2 linked regions of the Yarrowia lipolytica genome follow. The protein of the gene in region 2 purifies or fractionates together with the protein of the main gene of each other region. This does not show direct contact. Links are inferred from orthologs where the notes say so. Each region holds a gene or a part of one and is shown on either strand. Other genes may lie near its edges.

Region 1 (3,546 bases), on a different chromosome or scaffold from region 2:
CAGAGACGCTCCTCATGTCGACGCAGACACAACATCGGAGTCGGTGGTGCTCGACAGAAAAGACCCCACCATCATGCCCGAGCTGATGGAAATCCACGACGAGGGCGGACATCTGACTGACGCTTTCCATCTCGACCTCGAAAACGAATTCCACCTTAACGACCACCATATGCATCTCCACCATCGGTCGCACGGTGCGCATCATGATCCGGGTGTTATCCCATGAAGAAAAAATGTATAGTATTCCAGATTCGTGGTGGTCCTAGAGACACTCTTTTAATGCCCTTATTTAAGTAACAAAATAGATTCAGGAGATTCAGGAATGGAAAGATCCATTAAAAGACCTTCAGCATACTCATCAAGGGCTAAGGATTCTCATATTCCTTCGTACATGCCTCTCCTTTTAAATCAATACATTAATAATATAATACAGCTCTAGTTCGAACTATTGTTCATGACTCATGGGTTCTAGGACGCCCATTGAGAGCTCATAGAGTTGGTGGAGCACTCATAGAAAGCACACATGGCCTCATAAGAAATGCAGTATCGGACGGCTCTCACTTGTTCTCCCGCTTAATAGCAGGACCTCCCATACCCTCTTCATAATCCTGTAGAGCCTGCTCCCACTCTTCGTCCGCAGTCAAAGGTCTAGTGGCCTCTTCTGCCTCCTTGAGCTTCTCTTCGTGCTCCTTTCGCGCTTCCTCATCGTATTCGTCCTTGTAATCGATCCACCGTTCCTGGATATCAGAAACTCCACCCACATATCCTCCCTGTCGAGTTGCTTCCGCCCAGAACGAGTCTCCGCCGACCTCGGTACTTCCAAACAAGTAGCCTGTCGCCTTATCTATAGTTGTGAGCAGCTGGATCATGCTCTTTTTGTCCTCCACCGCCAGCACCTCGTAGGCTACCAGACCGAAGTCTTCAACTACCTCTGCAATAGCCTCCGTCAGCTTGGCATACTTGGTCATTCCTGCCTCCTTTTCCAGCAGAGGGAACAAGTGGTGCAAATCCTGCACTTCTGTGTAATAGTCGAGGTTGAAGTCGAGCGTTCCATAGCGGTGGATCAAGTCGATCTTGCTCAGCACGTTCACCTGGGGCAGATCGAGCTGAAGCATAGATCGCAGAGTGAGCAACAAGACTGACACGTAAAGAGATGGTTTGGTGATGTAATGCGAATCGACGAGGTTGACCACGCAGAGACGCGCCTTCTCCTGCTTTTCCAGCCGCTTGAATATCCTCTGCAGCGCGCCATGATGTGTAAACAGCTCCACCTGGCCGGGACAGTCGAACAGCAGGTACTCATTGTCTCCCAGCTCCTTGATCTTGTTAACAAACCCGTCCACATCCGTCTCCACCTCCTCCAAAGCATACATGATGCCTCCATTGGGTCCCAGGTTCTGTTCCGTCATGACATCCTCCAGCTGCACAAAGTCTCGAATGTCCAAAGCGCACGGATACTGGACATGGTCGTTGGCAGGATCCATATTGATCACTGAGACTTTGCGACCAATGGCATTGAGAAACTGGTACATTCCATAGGCGTAGGTCGATTTTCCCGACCCTGGCGGTCCGATAATCAGCTGTCCGAACATGTTGTGTGTGGTGTTGGTTAGTTTGACAAATAATTCTGGCAGTAAGTTTCATGCAGGTTGCGGTAAGGCGGCGTGCAGTGGAGAGTAGTTATCGAAAGGTGGCGAAGGGAAAATGAGGTTGGAAAGACAAGACAGAGGAGACATCGACAAGGTGATTATTTTGAACTTATTTCTGGTCAAATCCGATATCGGGAAGCGTACTTTGAAGACTATCTTATCAGCCCACAGATGGAGGTATGAGAACACTCTGCGTACAGTCCCAACGCAGTATTTTACAGAGCTAGTTTTTGCTACTTTAGTGCATACTGTACATACTGTACTGGTGGTAATTAGAGAAGACAAATGAGCTGTTAGGGACATCGATATTTTGTTCATATGGAGAGTGTTTTTGTCCATATTGTGGGTAAATCAACTCCCCCATAAGTTCTCTTTCGATTAATATAACTTTTACATTGACCGCTACTTTACAAGTTCCCATCACTGTTCACTACCCTCATGGTGGCGTTAGTTGAGTTTACTTGACTTGTTTTTAATATACTTGGCTTATACTTGACATCACCTTTCATTCAGAGCTTAGTAATTATGACCCATCACGACACATCCATCGCAACAGACGACCTGGGCCACTAAATCACACACTCTCCACTCATTTGACACCTCTTATTTTCCCCTCTTTCGCTCCTTTATCCTATCTCAACTACCACCATCCAGGTGGCAACTAACTCTATCTGGTGCGTGCATCACCACTCTCTATTATCACCACATCACATCAACCTCATCACATCCCATCTCTCAACACAGAAATGACGACAGTAGAACCCGCGCAGAACGGATCGGCACCAGCAGTCCCCACGACTCTGGTGTCGTCATTGCCCTACGAGCAAGTGACGGTCGCCCCCCTGGTGCTGCTTTCGGTAGTGGACCATTACAACCGAATCGCCATGAACACAAAAAAGCGGGTGGTCGGCGTGCTTCTGGGCGACAACACCGGCAACACGATCCGAGTCACCAACTCGTACGCCATTCCCTTTGAGGAAGACGACAAGCAGCCCGACGTGTGGTTTCTGGACCACAACTTTGTGGAGAACATGGGCGACATGTTCAAGAAGATCAACGCCAAGGAAAAGCTCATTGGATGGTACCACTCGGGTCCCAATCTGCGAGCCTCCGATCTCCAGATCAACGAGCTCTTCAAGCGATACACCCCCAACCCCCTGCTACTGATTGTCGACATCCAGCCTCAGGAAGTGGGTGTCCCCACCGATGCCTACTTTGCCATTGAGGACATTAAGGACGACGGCAGCGCCACCGACAGAACGTTTGTGCACGTGCCGTCGTCCATTGAGGCCGAGGAGGCCGAGGAGATTGGTGTGGAGCATCTGCTGCGAGATGTGCGAGACGCCGCGGCCGGCAACCTGTCTGTGCGAATCACCAACCAGCTTATGTCCCTGCAATCGCTCCACAAACGGCTTCACGAGATTGCAAACTACCTGCAAAAGGTGGTCGAGGGCCAGTTGCCTCTGAACCATGTGATTCTTGGTAAGCTGCAGGATGTGTTCAACCTGCTGCCCAACGTTTCTGTTTCGTCTTCTGACGACTCTCTCACCGACGCTGCTAAGACCACTGACGAGCGGGCCAAGGCCTTTGCTGTCAAGTCCAACGACGAGCTCATGATTGTCTACCTCTCCACTCTGGTCCGAGCCATCATTGCCTTCCACAACCTGATCGAGAACAAGATCGAGAACAAGGAGAACCTCAAGGAGGAGGAGGATAAGGAGGAGACCAAGGAGGGAGACAAGGACAAGAAGAAGGAGTGATGCATTTGCCATGAGGGGAGGAGGGAGGATTGTTATAATAGCCTCGAGTAGGTGGGCTCTCCATTTTTGCCCAATAGATGATGTATTCATAAAGAGATGTAGGACTGGGACGGGGTGTTGATGTATCTACTGTGATC
Region 2 (4,459 bases):
CATCCGAGACTACATCCACGTGTGCGATCTTGCTGCTGGCCACGTGGCTGCCCTTGAGAAGCTCGAGGCTGTCGATAAAGAGCGAAAGCAGCTGCCCCAGGGGTCCCCCGAGCTCAAGCACGGTTTCTCTCGAGAATGGAACCTAGGAACCGGCCACGGATCTACTGTGCTTGAGGTCGTCAAGGCCTTTTCCAACGCCGTGGGTAAGGACCTACCCTACGAAATCACCGGTCGACGAGACGGAGACGTTCTGGATCTCACCGCGAAACCCGGCCGAGCAAACTCCGAGCTCAACTGGAAGGCAGAGAAGACTCTCGACGAAAGCTGCTCCGATCTGTGGAGATGGACCAGCGAGAACCCCTATGGTTACAAAAAGGACCGTCATGACAAGTAAGCTGCATTGCTAAAAACAGTTTTTTTCGAAAAAAAAAAAAAAAAAAAAAAAAAAAGTAACACAGCCAATGGTTATAGATTGTAGTTGGTTGTGCAGTTTAGTAATAATGTATTATGATTTTTAAATTGAGTAGTATATACAAGTGATATTTACTGTAGATAATATTGATGATGACCTATAAATGAATTCCTATCTATAACTAACTATTCCACTATCCCACTCCACTCTAACTAGCCTGTCGAGTATCACTTCCGCCCTGTTTCCACAGCCAGAGAGCTTCGGTAGCGTATGCTGCAACGTTCATCTGCTTGGCATGGGTGGCCTCGGTGATTGATTCGATGACTCGTCCCTGGTCAATGAGACCTCTAAGACCCATGCCAATGGTCTTTCCATACTCCTTCTCCATGACAGTAGGGTTTCCAAGACGGTACAGAATTCGTCCGAGGGTTCTGATGGCAATACATCGCTGCCCCGACACCGAACTTCGCGCAAGTTGAGCTAGCTCGGGAATGGTATATCCAGCCATCTCTGGGTTCTCGCCATGGTGATGCAGACCAAGGTTCATTGGGATGTTTCGAGAGGTCTTGGGGGTGATGATGTTACCTTTGAAGTCGAATCTAATCTCAGATGGGAGCATAGTTTTAGGCAGTGGAGCATCTGAAGTGTCCTGAATGATCTTGGCAGTCATTTCTCCATCGGGTCCTCGCTCCTCAACCACTCTGTGTCTGGCATCGGTCATCCATGCCATCTTGGACGGTTCTTTGGGCAGATCAGGAAAGTACTTCTCATGTAGTTTCTCCATAAAGTCTTCGTCGTCGATGGACATGGGATCTTCATCGTCAGCAGCGAATGTGGGAGGCTTTGGAAAATGCACTGCCTGAACGCCAGACTTCTGAGACTCTGCCTTGTCTTTACCCTTTTCATCTCCATCCTCCTTTGCCTCAAACTTGACCTTCTTTGGTGTGGCAGAGCTATCAAAATCCATCTCCGATGCAGTCGCTGTCTTGGTCTCCTTCTTGGGTGTTCCTGGGGTAGTGGCAGGTTTGTCATCATCATCTTCATCCTCAACATCGTACTTGGACTCCATATCGCTAGGTTTGACCTCTCTAGCTCCCAATGACGATTTTAGGTCATCTCCTAGAGAGCGTTCAGCCTCCTTTGTCTCTTTAGTCTGCTCAAGTTCTGCCTTAACATCATCCCTAACTTCCGTAATTGTCGGCTCTTCCCTCGCGTGTTCACTCTGTGGCTCTTCTTTGACAGGCTTCGACTTATTGAAAACCTCCTCCGGCTCCTCCACGGTCGGCTCCTGTTGAGGAGGTTCCATATCGTCTTCCTTGATCTTGGCCCGTCTCATGAGTGCCATGAGCACGTTCTCATCCATGCTTTCCATGATCTCTTGTCTCTGGGCCTCAATTTCCTCAGGACTCATCTTGGCAAGCTTTGACAAGTTCTCCAGATGAATCTCCTCGGCTTCAGTCAGCTTCTGATCCGACGGATAGTCGTTCTGGAAACGTCCAGCTACCGTAGGCTTTGCAGGCGGTGCCTGGTTGTTGACGGGAGCAGGAGCAGGAGCAGGAGCAGGAGCAGGAGCAGGCTTGGGCTTTCGCTTCCACTCTCGCTTGAAGGCGCTGGGAGCCTTTGGGGGCATGGGCGGTAGGGGAGCCGGTGTGTCTTCAATGTCTCGCTCGATGATATCTCCAACGTCCATTGTGTGTTTGTATGTCTGTGGTTCTTGTTGTACGAGTAGCAAATAATTTTGGCGATATGCATGCCTTGGTATCGAACCTTGATCAACAGATGGTTTGGGTGTGCGGCCCTTGTCCTCCCATCTCCCAAACAGAAATTGGTGGCGTCTGGGATAACAACAGTCCATAGCTCGTTGATTGAGAGAAAGAATCACCGGATCTGACTCGATGATGGAGACGTTAGAACCAGAAACTTGATATGGTATGATACTACAGTAACAGAGCAGAAAATATTGTGCTCCACAATCCTTTTATCGCACCTCGCGGGTGGGCGGAACCCTTCTCATCATCGTACACTTCATTTATTATCCATCACAGGTTAATTTCGTGTTGACGTGATAACACATACTAGAGACGAAGACCAGTTAGATCTCTCGCCACTTAAGCCTCACCCATGACACTCATTACCACTACCGAGCCCAAACCGACCTTCATTCCCAAATCCACCACCTGACCACATCTATCATACCGCGTATATGTACAGCAACATTAAAGAGGTGAAGGAGTAGACACAAGAGAGCTCGCGTACATGTACTCTGCCTCTCAGTAACGCGACACGAGCAATTTTCGAGCAGCCATATTAATCTCCACCCCACGCAATCTGTAACGATACAAAATCATCATTCGGACTCGCCGACCCACCCACACAAACTGCCCTGTTCCCCCACGTTTTGCACTCCTCCGTTGTCGGTAAACTGTGCGTCCCTGACGCATCGCAAAAGTTTTGGATCTCTGGACAACCGCAAGCACGACCAGTACCTGATATCGCTCAGCAGATAGAAGCCCGTTCCTCACGTCCCGCGACACTGGAGAGTGTTTCTAGGCCTCATGCAGAAAATCGAGCCCGGCGACGTTCCGGGATTTCTGCCCGAGGTTCCGGAATTCACCGAACCGCACGAAAACAATAACGAAGCATGGAAACCAAGCTCGGCCCGGATTATTGGAGCTACGACGGCCGGTACTCGGGCGCTCGCATCCCAGCTCTTCACATTTTACATCCGTGTGCCTGTCAAGCTCTTTCGACCTACCAGAGTCGACTACTTAGCGCTTCCACGGGCGCTGTCTCCAAACAGCGACAAACCTTGGAGCTTCAAAACACACAGCAGTCCGGCTCTGATTGCCAACGCAGTCAAACAGCATGGCTGGGGTTTTATTCCAAATCAATTGCTGCCCCCCTTATTGGCGAACTCGGCCGTAGGACTGGTATTGTACTCCACATATCTGGGATGTCTACCATTATTCAAATCAGAGAAAGACCGACAAAAGGAGGATGAAGAAGACGAACACCAACGACAACTGCTGCTAAGGAAATCATGGTATGATACCCAGGGAATGGACGGCTCGCATGTGAAATACATCATCGATGAACTCATGCCTCATCGATACACGTTCAAACAGACGTTTTGTGCCGGAGCAGTCGCTGGAGCAGCCCAGGCAGTAGCTGCAGCACCAATCGACGCCATCTACAGGCGTTCTTCGATAGCAGAAGTGCTCAAGACCAAACAGTTGCCCTCTATGTGGTCCTATGGAATGGAGAAGTTGCGCCAAACAGGTGCACCAGGTGTCTTTGCTGGCTTTACGTTGTCAGTTGTCAAAGAGAGTCTGGGTTTTGGGGTCTTTTTTGCCACGTTCGAAATGGTTAAGGGATCGTGGTACAGGTCCTATGCCAAGTGGCTGTATGCTGATCGTCTCAAGGAACATCCTTCAGGCTTTGATGAGAATGGAAAAAGCATCGTCAACAAGGTCCTAGCACCTTTCAGCATCCTTGTAGCTGGAGCAGCAGCCACCATCTCACTGCATGTGGTTCAGTTTCCTCTTCAGAAGCTGCAGGGCATCTACCTGACTCGTCTCGATACTCAAGACCTCATTGACGCAAGAAAACAACTGGAAGCTAACCGATCCAAGGAGCAAAAGACACAGAACAAACTTGGAGAGCGAATAAAACATCAGGCCAGTCCCGCCTCTCCTTTCCAGTCAACATTTCTATGCTACGAGCGTCGGATTCACCACAGAAACCCTCTTATGGTGGAACTGTCTGAAACGCTGGAGGAGACTCTTCCCAGAACGCATTCACTTCTTGTGAAGTTTGGTAAGGGATGGAGTAAGACCGTCAACTTTTCTATTAGATGTTTTACTACTCTTAGATACAGAATCTTCCCGGGTATCCATCTCTACTACCGAGCCTACGTTGAGACTCTGCATACAGCCAATAACATCCGAAAGGGTCTGCGGTTGAGTTGGCCCAGATACCTATACCATGGTTGTGGCTGGACGACCCTCAGTGCGCTTCCGTCTACGTCTATCGGTCTGTTCGTGTTTG

What was found.
Region 1: the proteins of YALI1_E31724g (region 2) and YALI1_D25208g purify together in Saccharomyces cerevisiae (affinity purification with mass spectrometry; 3 studies listed by BioGRID, with this or other methods). This does not show direct contact. The link is inferred for Yarrowia lipolytica from reciprocal best matches to the Saccharomyces cerevisiae genes RBA50 and GPN2.

What each region holds. Positions count from the first base shown.
Region 1 is NC_090773.1:2,519,188-2,522,733, forward strand, and holds YALI1_D25208g (uncharacterized protein), read right to left. Parts: upstream 1,593-3,546; coding exon 558-1,592; downstream 1-557. Other genes in the region: YALI1_D25178g (uncharacterized protein), read left to right, coding at 1-226; YALI1_D25216g (uncharacterized protein), read left to right, coding at 2,396-3,409. UniProt on the Saccharomyces cerevisiae protein: Small GTPase required for proper localization of RNA polymerase II and III (RNAPII and RNAPIII). May act at an RNAP assembly step prior to nuclear import. Required for establishment of sister chromatid cohesion.
Region 2 is NC_090774.1:3,170,242-3,174,700, reverse strand, and holds YALI1_E31724g (uncharacterized protein), read right to left. Parts: upstream 2,268-4,459; coding exon 621-2,267; downstream 1-620. Other genes in the region: YALI1_E31754g (uncharacterized protein), read left to right, coding at 1-394; YALI1_E31717g (uncharacterized protein), read left to right, coding at 2,968-4,459. UniProt on the Saccharomyces cerevisiae protein: Forms an interface between the RNA polymerase II enzyme and chaperone/scaffolding proteins, suggesting that it is required to connect RNA polymerase II to regulators of protein complex formation.